Linked DNA regions of Danio rerio. The protein of the gene in region 1 purifies or fractionates together with the protein of each later gene. This does not show direct contact. Links are inferred from orthologs where the notes say so. Each region holds a gene or a part of one and is shown in the gene's direction. Other genes may lie near its edges.

What was found.
Region 2: the proteins of pfdn4 (region 1) and pdrg1 purify together in Homo sapiens (co-immunoprecipitation; 3 studies listed by BioGRID and IntAct, counting the BioPlex papers as one, with this or other methods). This does not show direct contact. The link is inferred for Danio rerio from reciprocal best matches to the Homo sapiens genes PFDN4 and PDRG1.
Region 3: the proteins of pfdn4 (region 1) and pfdn5 purify together in Homo sapiens (affinity purification with mass spectrometry; 5 studies listed by BioGRID and IntAct, counting the BioPlex papers as one, with this or other methods). This does not show direct contact. The link is inferred for Danio rerio from reciprocal best matches to the Homo sapiens genes PFDN4 and PFDN5.

The regions. Positions count from the first base shown.
Region 1 is NC_133198.1:41,423,373-41,427,464, reverse strand, and holds the start of pfdn4 (prefoldin subunit 4), read left to right. Parts: upstream 1-1,276; 5' UTR 1,277-1,542; coding exon 1,543-1,569; exon of another isoform or gene 1,570-1,573; intron 1,574-3,532; coding exon 3,533-3,640; intron 3,641-3,715; coding exon 3,716-3,856; exon of another isoform or gene 3,857-4,092. UniProt on the Homo sapiens protein: Binds specifically to cytosolic chaperonin (c-CPN) and transfers target proteins to it. Binds to nascent polypeptide chain and promotes folding in an environment in which there are many competing pathways for nonnative proteins.
Region 2 is NC_133186.1:392,385-396,476, forward strand, and holds the start of pdrg1 (p53 and DNA damage-regulated protein 1), read left to right. Parts: upstream 1-1,273; 5' UTR 1,274-1,308; coding exon 1,309-1,392; intron 1,393-1,477; coding exon 1,478-1,550; intron 1,551-2,865; coding exon 2,866-2,940; intron 2,941-3,034; coding exon 3,035-3,115; intron 3,116-4,092. UniProt on the Homo sapiens protein: May play a role in chaperone-mediated protein folding.
Region 3 is NC_133181.1:42,215,168-42,219,245, reverse strand, and holds the start of pfdn5 (prefoldin subunit 5), read left to right. Parts: upstream 1-1,259; 5' UTR 1,260-1,265; coding exon 1,266-1,331; intron 1,332-2,369; coding exon 2,370-2,472; intron 2,473-2,548; coding exon 2,549-2,580; intron 2,581-2,712; coding exon 2,713-2,787; intron 2,788-2,871; coding exon 2,872-2,977; intron 2,978-4,078. UniProt on the Homo sapiens protein: Binds specifically to cytosolic chaperonin (c-CPN) and transfers target proteins to it. Binds to nascent polypeptide chain and promotes folding in an environment in which there are many competing pathways for nonnative proteins.

The DNA.
Region 1 (4,092 bases):
AAAATAAAACAAATAAGACTTTCTCCAGAAGAAAAAATATTATCAGACATACTGTGAAAATTTCTTTGCTCTGTTAAACATCATTTGGAAAATAAAAAAAAAATAAAAATAAAAAAAAATCAAAGGGGGGCTAATAATTCTGATCTCAACTGTATAAAAATTTATTTGTTCTTAGACATGGATAAATCTAGATATAAAGGGACAAAAAAGTACATTTTAATTCAACCCATGATTTCTCATAATTCCTTTATAAATAGGCTATTAAATATTCCTCAATTGCATAGTTTGTTATTAAGTTGGCCGTGTACTGTTTAAAAATTTTGTGAGTTTAAGTTTCAAAAAATAACCTAGCCTTTAAAATTATAGTTATTTCAAATAAGAATTAGGATAATTATTTACTTTATAGCAGAGATGCAAAAACTAGGGAATGTGGGCCAAAGTTAGAACATGTTAAGCTTTGATTTGTCCCGTCATCCCATCTGAGAAGAGATGGAGAATGATGGGGATGGTTTTGAGGTTGTCAGTTTAAATTTAATGTAGCCCTTTGCTAGTTTTTATTGTTAAAAGCTAATTGAAATTAAGTGTTTCAATTAAATTGTGTAAATTAAATCAGATTTTGTTTAAATGTACACATTGTCATCTGATAATGTAGAGACTTAGGTGAGCAAATCAAGTCAAAGACTAGTGACTAGAGTATTCAGCATTGAACTTCTAAAGAGATTGTTAATTTTTATTGCAATAAATTATCAATTAAAATGTTATTCTGCATTAGTTAATAGGATTTAAAGTGATGTTTTCTATTTATTTTAAAATATTATAAAATGAATTAGGAAATTAATTATCCAAGTCAATTTAAATGTAATATAGTTTGGTATATTTGTTCATACATATTCATGGCGCGTGACGGTATTTGATTTTTGGCCCTTTATACGAAAAGTTTGGCCATCCATTGCTTTAGAGACAACTATTAGTTATTTTTGCTTTTAACTAAAAACTCGCTTCATTTAGATTTTTCTTCCAAGAAAAGCTTCTCAAAGACTTATTGCCAAGACAACGTTGTTTCTTAAGTAAACAGCTAACGTTATCTATATTAAACATACTTTAATGTTAATATTATATATTTAATAGAAAACGAAACAAAATAAGGAAAAAACGCATTTTACACTTCCATTTCCAATGTAAACACCCATATATATGATATAACATGCGAATTCGACATTTAAATCATCAAAAGTATGTTTGTGTGGGAGTAAATCTACGGTTGTCCAGAAGATGTCAGTAAGTGTTGCTAACTAAAATCCTCAAGTCTGTATGGCTGCAGCCCAAAATCCTTGCAACAGCGGATAATTTTAAGAAAACCGACTTCAAAACGCATTTAGTTAAGCCAGTAATTTAGATTCAAACATAAAACTTCATAATTTCTTTGTCAAACGTACCATATTTTCGAAGCAGCAACCGAAACACGCAACAAACACTCAAACATCCACGTGCTCCATTCAGACGCCGTTCAGGCGCGTGCACGCAGCTCGCTTCCCGTTCAAGATGGCAGCCACCATGAAGAAAGGAGTGGTATGTGTTCCCATTATCGGCTTTCTGTCTACATTCACGTTGTTTTGTTGCTCATCCCTGAGAAACGCGTTGGTGATGCTGAAATATCTAAAATATTAAACGAAAGAGACAGCTGAGGGAAACTGAGGACGGTTTATTGTTTATTTTCACCGGCTTGGATGGCTAACGTCATATTATTCGTGCCTGTCTGTTAATGAGTTTTATTGTAATTATTTACATTTACGTTCATCGTTCTGCACCAATCTATCTATCTATCTATCTATCTATCTATCTATCTATCTATCTATCTATCTATCTATCTATCTATCTATCTATCTATCTATCTATCTATCTATCTACATTTAAATTTAGGTGGTTTTAAATCACATAATTGTATTGTCATTCTTAAATATTTCTTATAGATTGACCAGATTAACAACTTGTATATTGGGTTGTTTATTTTGTTCTTTTATATAGAGTTTAGTTTACATAAAAAAGCTTTTTTTAAATGTATAAAATGCTAAGCAAACTTATATTTGTGTAAATCACATCGAGTCTAAACCACAAAGAGTCAAGATGACAGGATTCAAATCAAAGATTTATGATTTGCTTAGCATTTATATTGTAAAATTTTAAAAGTAAATCTAAAGATACAAAGAAATGCAAATAATATGCATATTTAGCAAGGCATATTTTTTGACAGAGCTTACCGAACATCCAAAACAATGCTGAGTGTTTGTGTGTGTCCATGTGATGGTAACTTCATAATTTGAGAGCTTGTGAAACGCTTATAAAAATGTGTAAAGGAGTCAAAACAATGACATGAATTCCTATTTAAATGAAGATTTCTGATGCCTGTGTTGGTTAACATAGCAACTACATTTTTGAAAAGCATTTTTGAGTATCCTGTCATTTTTAATGTTCGCATCTTTATAAAGCACATTTAAAAACAACCAAGGTGGACCCAAGGGCTGTACATAGGAGTACTAAACACAGAGACGAAATCAGAATATAAAAGAAGCATTTAGAAAATAAAACAATAAAACATTGATCAAGGAGTATTAAAGCGAGAGAAAATAGGTGTTCAAAACAGACTTAAACACAGAAATAGAGGGGGAAAGTCTAATGTGAATTGGTGGGGTGTTCCAGAGTTTAGAACCAGCAACTGCAAATGTTCAATCACCTTGTTTTTTAAGGCATGTTCTGGTTACGTAAGTTAATTGAGATCATAAGATCTCAATGATCGAGAGGAGGTATACGGATGGAGCAAGTCTGTAAGGTACTGAGGAGCAAGACTATTGACAGCTTTGTAAACAAATAATAAAATTTTAAAATCAATTCTGTATTTAATGGGTAACTAGTGAAGTGCAGCTAAAATCGGAGTTACCGACTCATACTTGCGGGTGCCAGAGATTAGTCTAGCAGCTGCATTTTGTACCAGCTGCAGACAAGAGAGAGAAGACTGAGAAATACCAAAATAGAGTGAGTTACAGTAATCCAGTGTTATGAAGGCATGGATCATTGTTTGAAAATTTCTCTGAGATAATAATGGCTTCATTTTAGACAGTTGTTAAGGTGGTAAAATCAGGTTTTTACGACAGGACTGATCTCTTTTTAATTCTTAAATTTTCTTTAATTTAAAATTTTCATCAAACATAACACCGAGACTTCTTGCACACTGGGTAATATGTGGGGCCAAAGATCGTACATTGACATTTAACAGAGATTTTACTACGTCATCATGCAATAACACCAGAATTAATTTAAATTAAATCAAACCATAATAAGTAATGCACAATGTTTAATCAAAACTACTGCTTGAATCATAACTTGAGTTTACTTCTATTTTTAAAATATATTTATTATCTGTTTTTTGTCCTGTCTCTCTCATTCTGTTGCACTGTAAAAGCTTCTGTCACGAAAATAAACTCCTCGCATGTATGAACATACCTGGCAATAAAGCTCTGATTCTGATTCTGAACAGGCAGCAGAGGATGTCAATGTAACATTTGAGGACCAGCAAAAGATAAACAAGTTTGCCAGGAACACAAATCGGATGTCTGAACTGAAAGATGAAATCGAGGCCAAAAAGGTAATATTGTGATGCTTTTGATTTATACAGGATATAAGCTGCATTTTACTGACGCATAATCTTTATTGTGCGTAGAAATCTTTACAGAACTTAGAGGATGCCAGTGATGACCTCATGATGTGTGAGGATGATTCGATGCTGATCCCGTATCAGATTGGAGACGTGTTTATCAGTCACTCGCAAGAAGAGACGCAGGAGATGCTGGAGGCAGCAAAGGTGACTTTATTTTTTTTACACACTTTATAGGGCACTCAATACAATATACAGGAAAAACTGTGGAATGTCATTGTGGGCCATTACAAAAATTTAAAACGCTTTTGACTTGAAAAAAAAAGTTGCAAATCTAGGTCAAAAAAGTTACAATAAATTGTTAGGTTTAAACACAGGCGCTTTGTTTACATTCGTTAAAATGCGTTAGTACGATTATAAGTGGACAATGGTAAATACAGATG
Region 2 (4,092 bases), on another chromosome or scaffold:
GTTTATTTTCAGCTCTGGGTTCAGGACACTCCAGCCAATAACAGAACAGCCACTACTGGGGAGGCGCGACTAAAGATATTATGGCCCCATCTGATTGATCTAATTTAGATAAACAATCAATGAAAAAGAATGTATATTGCAAATACTAATATTGCGATAACAATAATATTATGCATTTATTTATATTTGTATTGTGAATGAAGATAAATATACTGTGATGTATTTATTCAGAAATGAAGATTTGAAGTGTTGAGTCTGCTCATGATTAGCCCCGGCTCCTCCATCCCACTGAGAAGCAGCCATCATCTCACATTGTGTGTAACTTGTTATTTTCCTCATTCTCTGCCTGACTCATACGGTGATTGTGATGATCATAAATACAGTTTTAAGCTCTTTGCAATCCTCTTGACATGGGAGGAGTTACTCGAACATGCAAGAGCCACATCCAGAGTATGTCCAGATATTTTAAACAAAAGATTATTTTCTTACAAACACTATCTGCTGCCAGTTACTGCTGAGCACAACACATGCAGATTATTAATAGGTTCATTAACATTCATTCATTCATTTTCTTTTTCAGCTTAGTCCCTTTATTAATCAGGGGTCACCACAGCGGAATGAACTGCCAACTTATCCAGCATATGTTTTTCACAGAAGATGCCCTTCCAGCTGCAACCCATCTCTGGGAAACACCCATACACACTCATTCCCACACATACACTACGGACAATTTAGCCTACCCAATTCCCCTATAAGCGCATGTGTTTGGACTGTGGGGGAAACCGGAGCACCCAGAGGGAACCCACACCAACCCGGGGAGAACGTGCAAACTCCACACAGAAACACCAACTGACCCAGCCGAGGCTCGAACCAGAGACCTTCTTGCTGTAAGGCGACAGTGCTACCTACTGCGCCACCGCCTCACCGGTTTATTAATGTTATTTTTTAATTTTAATTAATTTTAATTTAATTTATTTTGTCAGCAGCAAACGTCCATCTATACAGACAGTTTTGACAATAATTATTAATAATTATTTATAAAACTGAACCATAGTTGAACATTTATTTAGTTAGCATTTCCTGTTACGTTTTAGCAGTTTTCTTATTGCTGCGTTTTTGAGTCATTTTTTTTCCTGAAGAGTTTTTTACTTTACTTTACGAATATCAGGTTTGTTTTCCTCGTTGTGGATCTCACATCTGAAGTCGGAGCTGATGGTCGCTGTGAGCCGGAACGAAAATACAGCACAACTTGTTTCCACTCTCAGTCGGACTTATTTCGTCTAGCGCATAACACACGCACAGTTCAGCATGGACGAAAGCGCGCAGCGGGTACTGGAGCATCTGACTGAGGTAGAGGTTGCTGCAGAAGACATACTCACCGACAAACAACAGGTGCGATTGAGTTATAGGAGCAGTCAATTATCGGGTAATTTCTGTTTTATATGTGGTGTTTATTGAAGTGGTTGACATGTGACAGATTGTGGATCTGGATGTGCGGAGAAACAGAAACCGAGAAGCTCTCAGCGCGTTAAGAAACAACTCACCAAACGGCGAGTACAGACTACAGAATACTGGTTTATAATGCATTAATGGCACATATGCTTGGTGTTGGATGCAGTGTCATGCGTATAAAACTTGTACTACGTATAAAGCACATATATAAGTACACGTATCTTCCAAAGTAATAAATATTTCATTTATAATGTGTCAGTAATAGGGTTATTAAGCTTATAACCACACCTAATGTAACACCCCGGTATGTTTACTACAGGTTTATTTTTTGTAATTTACCCTAGAATGTTTAATTAACTTGTTTTACTCATGATTTATCAGTTCAGTTCACTATGTTGTCATTTTAGTTTTTATGGCTTGAATTTTTGCACCTTTTTTTGTGAATATGGGTTTAAAAAATCATCCTATGGGTATCCAAAATCTAATAATTTACTAATATTTAATATGATTGTATTATATATGTAATATTAGGGATATTCAAACAAAGAAAAGTAAGTTATCATGACTCCAACCACTGAAAACACACAACTTTTTTATATTTACAAAGTTTTTTTTTTTTTGGCACATTTGGGCTCAGTCCCTTTAGTCATTAGGGGTCGCCACAGTGGAATGAACTAAGTTTTCCAACTATTCCAGCACATGCTTTACACAGCGGATACCCTTCTAGCTGCAATCCATCACTGGGAAACACCCATACATACTCATTCACACACTCATACACTATGGCCAGTGTAGTTGATCAGTTCCCCTATAGCGCATGTGTCTGGACTGTGGGGGAAACCGGAGCACCAGGGAGGAAACCCAAGTCAACACAGGGAGAACATGCAAACTCCACATAGAAACACCAACTGACCCAGCTGGGACTCAAACCAGAGACCTTCTTGCTGTCAGGCCACAGTGCTAACCACTGAGCCATCATGTCGCCCTAATATAAATTCAGAAAACTGTTAATTATAAATAGTGAAATCATATTAGCAGCCAATGACTATCACAGTCCAGTATTGTTCACAGTCAGCTCAATAGAGCGGATGTTGTTTTGAAGTCATATTTACATGCCATTTCTGACCAAATATTCAAAGTAGCATAATAAACATTATAGAGAGGGAGTCACAAGCTGACACTGTTGAAATGAATGAATGTGTGTGTATAAAACAAACTTTACCTCAATAAACACATATTGTATTTTACATAAGAAGATGTTCAGAACAAAATAAACACAGATTTCTTCTACAAAGAGCAAAACTAATAGATGATGCCATTTGCTCTGTAATCTTATTTTGTTTGCCTAATGCTGGTTCTCATTTGAAGTTTGTCTCTGCACATGACAATAAAATTGAATCCGATCTAATCTAGATAATGTAAAGGTGTGTTTTGGAAATATGTTCATCAAATTCCCTCAAGAAAGCACCAGATCAATGATCCTGAAAGGTGAGTGTGTCTTTTTCAGCTGTGCTTTTGTGTGAATAACCCTTCACATGTGCCACTGTGTTTAATAAATGAGCTGTTCTACTGTTCCTGACAGACCAAGAGCAGCTTGATAAGGAAATAACAGACCTCCGCACACGACTGAAAGCGAAAGTGAACCGTCTCAATGAGCTACAAGGTAGAGCTGCTTCATCAGTCTCTTGCTCAGTCATACTTATAAATGGTGTAAACATCTGTGCCGAAGACAAGACGTGTTATTTAGTCTGCGTCTTAGTATTTTTATGTACTTAAAAAGCATTTATATTAGTGCTGGACAAAGATTAACCACATCCAAAATAAAAGTTTATTTGTGATGTTTGTGTGTAATATTCATTCATTCATTTTCTTGTCGGCTTAGTCTCTTTATTATTCCATGGTCGCCACAGTGGAATGAACCGACAACTTACCCAGCAAGTTTTTACGCAGCGGATGCCCTTCCATCTCTGGGAAACATCCACACACATTCACACACACAATCATACACTGCGGAGAATTTAGCCTACCCAATTCACCTGTACCGCATGTGTTTGGACTGTGGGGGAAACCGGAGCGCCCAGAGGAAACCCACGCGAACGCAGGGAGAACATGCAAACTCCACACAGAAACGCCAGCTGAGCCGAGGTTCGGCCCAGCGACCTTCTTGCTGTGAGGCGACAGCACTACCTACTGCGCCACTGCTTCGCCCGTGTGTGTATTATATTTATATTTATTATATATTTATGATACTTGCATACATGTAAACAAAACTACAAAACTATTTTGTTACATAGATATTTAAATTTATGGCTACACTTTACAATAAGGTTCATTAGTTAATGCATTTACTAACATGAACTAATCATGAACAACACATGTACAGCATTTATTAATCATTATTGAACATTTACTAATGCATTATTAACATTCAAATCCATGCTTGTTAACATTAGTTAATGCACCATGAGTTAACATGAACTAACAATGAACTACTGTATTTTCATTAACTAACGTTAACTAACATGAACAAATACAGTAGTAAATGTATTGTTTGTTTATGTTAGTAAATGCATTAATTAACATTAACTAATAAACCTTATAGTAAAGTGTGACTATATATATATATATATATATATATAT
Region 3 (4,078 bases), on another chromosome or scaffold:
AGTGGAGGTTTTCATCCCAAACATAACAAAAGGGTAGCAAAATTGCCCAGAGTGTATCGTTAAGTTCTTTAAAAATGTCAAAGCATTTTCCAAAAACGTGTCAAAATTAAATTTGTCGCCAAAGTCGTTCTGCTAGTTGAAACAGAAAAAGTTGACCAAATGAAGACACAAAATCACCCCAGAGTGGATGAAAACACCCTCAACAGCACACAGGGGTTAACTGAAATGAGGGATGTGCTAGTAAAGGAGTACACATGGAGGAAAAACATGAATTGGTCATCTGTCACTGCAGACTGATGGATAAACCGACAGGCAACAAGGACTGTAAACACTGAAATCGGTGTTCCCATAAGTCTTCAAAATGTCAGGGACAGCGTTTTCAGAGACGTACAAATATCTGACGTACCTGATCTGATGTGATTCTTATGTGCTGAACGGCCAGGTTTAATGGTGAATCTGAAAAAATGAAATATTAATTTAAACAAGTGTTACGGACTTCCTGTCATGAGTTAGTGTTTCAGATGAGATTTTCTGCTTTTGTAAAATACACACTACTCCTGTTGGAGAAAACTCAGGACAATACCAAACACATAAAGGCAAACACACACATACACACACAAACATTAATGAATGCCCATGAGCTTTATAAGGATTTGAGCTGTGTACATTTTCTTCACTTTTTAACTGGTGTGTATTTTTAGTGTTCAATGTCTACTGAAATACAAACCTATTCTAATACTTAACAATGAGGCTTAAAATAGTTGAAATTTGTGCACCACATGCATTGACAATGAATAGTTTGTTAATTGATTAATAAGGATTTACTCATGTTTACATACTAATCAAATACATTCCCTACTGAAAAATCAGTTGACCAGCCTGGTTTTAGAGGGGTTTTGGCCATTTCCAGGCTAGTTTCCAGCCATTTCCAGCCTGGTCTTAGCTGGTCAGGCTGGAAAATGACCAGCCAAATCCAACTAAAACCAGCTTGCCCAGCCTGGTTTAAGCTGGATATAGCTGGTTTTGGCTGGACTCCCAGCTTGGCTAGGCTGGTCAAGCTGGTTTTAGCTGGTCATCTCCCTTTTTTTTTAAGGTAATGTTAATACATGCTGTATAAATGCACTGTTAGTTTATTTAGTCGACGTTTTATTTGTTAAAGTATAACAAATGACTGTAGTGTGTAATGGAAAAAAATCAATGGTAAAAGTCCTTTTAGTTGCGTCCGCTTGACCCGGAAGTTTTCCTCACCCTCTTTTATTGTCAACATGGCGGTGAATCTCACTGAATTGTCTCTTCCACAATTAGAAGGCTTGAAAACTCAGCTTGATCAGGTAAATTGTGTTAAAAATAAAAAACATCATCGTTTCGTATGTCCGAGTAGCATCAGGTGCTGCTGTTTTTCTGTCAGTGAATTAATTTACTGACGGGCTGCGGTTGTCATGCTGTCTGTGCGCGTGCTGCTGCTGCTGGTAATGCGGAAAAAAAGCCCTCTATGATTGTCCACATGGCTGCATTTATTCCGTATGACAGAAAATGAGATGCAGAATGACTTTATCGACGTTCACTTGCATTGTATGTGAATGGTGTCTCAGTCAGTTCTCACTAAACACAACTTGGTTTTATTTTAACGAGTTCACAGTTTGAAATATATTTTGGTACCAAGTCTATAATCTGTATAAGATTAATTTAAAAGACTAATTTTGTTTTTCTGTGAGTAAACTTTTGAAGTTTACATGTGTCCTGATTATCTGTTTTATTTTGACCGTCATATTTATTTTACTGTATTTTACAGAAGACCCCAACAAAAATGTCATAACAATAGTTTATATATATTAAAAATTCTGGGCAGCCATATTTTTAGACCAAGATTATTTTGATGGCATTTAACTATTTAAAGGTTGAACTGTAGCTCCCAAATTCTAATTATTTTTCTTTTTTTAAACATGCATAATTTGTCACTATCCTTCAAACCCTTTATTTTACTAATTTTTACTTTTAAGGTTTAAAACCTTGACTATTCCAAACCTTGCCGGTTTACCTTGCAAACAGTTATCGCCCCATACCTAGTACAGAATAAGTACTATGTTTTTCCCATTTTTAAATAAATATATATGTTGCTCTGAATTACCCTGACATTATTTCCTAAATTATTATTATTGTTAATTATTTGATAGATTTTCACTCATTTTTTGATTTTATTTTTACAAAAGTTATTTGAAACATTTAAGTTAACACTTTGCTTGCGTTCAGTGTGCTTTCTGTGAATATAAATGCAATAATGTTAATTTACTTTGAGACACCAAAAAGGGACATCTCAAGGTAGATTTACACGTTATTTTGTATAAATTGCTTAAAAATGTGTTTTCTAGGAAACAGAGTTCCTGTCATCGTCTATAGCTCAGCTGAAAGTCGTCCAAACAAAATATGTGGAGGCCAAAGACAGTTTGAATGTGCTTAACAAGAGCAATGAAGGTGACTTTTAAAACTCTTTTATGACGTTTTTAGCTAAATCTGACGTTTGCTAATTTTTTTTTACTTTTTCTCTCAGGTAAAGAACTACTCGTCCCTCTCACCAGTTCTGTATCCTCTAAACAGCTGAGTTATAAATGAGTTCTGATTGATTTATGCCACATAAGAAAGTCACACAGACAGTTTGATGTGTGTGTAATTAATTTGCAGTGGTCCGTTATTCCCTTAACCTCAGTCATGTAGATGTATGTACCTGGAAAGCTGCATGATGTGGATCATGTGTTAGTGGATGTGGGAACAGGTTATTTTGTGGAGAAGGTGAGTAAGAATCAGTCTAGTAGTTTTAGTATATGTAAAAATGTCAAAACTGAGTAAATCACATTGCCTTTTCTGTCTTTTCAGAATGTAGAGGACGGCAAAGAGTTCTTTAAACGCAAAATCGACTTCCTTACTAAACAAATTGAAAAGATTCAGCCTGCTCTTCAAGAAAAATATGCCATGAAACAAGGTGATTTTCTTGTCTTTTGAAAAACATGTTTCTTATGTTCACCATAGCTGATAAAAATACAGTACATTTTTATTGTATTTCTTTTTTCACTATTTTCAAGTAAGCCTGTCACAATAATCAATATAACGACTGAGCGTACAACACATGGACATGACCTCAATCATTTTTGGTGATGCAATATAAATCACACATACATAAAGACCAATTCTGGCAATATTTTAGGTGTTTGTGCAACATCTCTATCTATTGGAGATGTCAGTATGGTTAAAAATCACAATTTTATTTACTATAGATTACTGTCGTATATTTTCATGTGGGTGTCTAACAACTGAAAATAGATCTGGGGTCCGTTCTTCGTACCTCGCTTAAATGATATAAGATGATTTGGCAGATCCTGGATCTTTTCATCTTGATAACTGATCTCTGGCTAATTTGGTTCTTCAAACAAGTTTGCGAATCCGATTAGAATGTCTGGATAAACTGATCTGAGATCGCTGCATGTGTTGTGAAGGACAGATCCATCGATCCTCGAAATCATGATCAGCAATGCAACGATTGGCTGACGGCACAGCAGCGTAATGACATCATCTGAATAATATTCAATTATCCATGTGAGCAAAATTACATCAAACAAGCAGTAAACGGTTTGTTGTGAGCTGCAGGCTTAACACTTTCATGTGTCAAGAGTATTCATTATGTATTTTAAAGCATATCAATGTATTTAGTTCTACATTTAGAGAAGATTTTCTTTATTATAGTAGCTTAGGCCTACTCAAGTTTTTTTTAATTGGAGTAAGGAATAACTGTATGAATTAATTTTCCATCAAAAAAGCATTTTGATAAAGGTGAAGGTGTCTGCAACTTTTGTGAAGCAACATATCACCGGCATATTGGCGATCACAACATGTGCATGACTGCATAAATCAGTATCCTTTTTTTAAAAAAGTTGAATATTGTGCATTTGCATTGTATTTAAAAAGTTCATATCAATACATTTTCTCTTTGAACCACCAGGTGGCAGTCTTTGTACTTATTTCGGAGTGCAGATTGCATAAGTTTTATTTATCTATATATTTCTTAAATTATAGTAACTTATAGTTG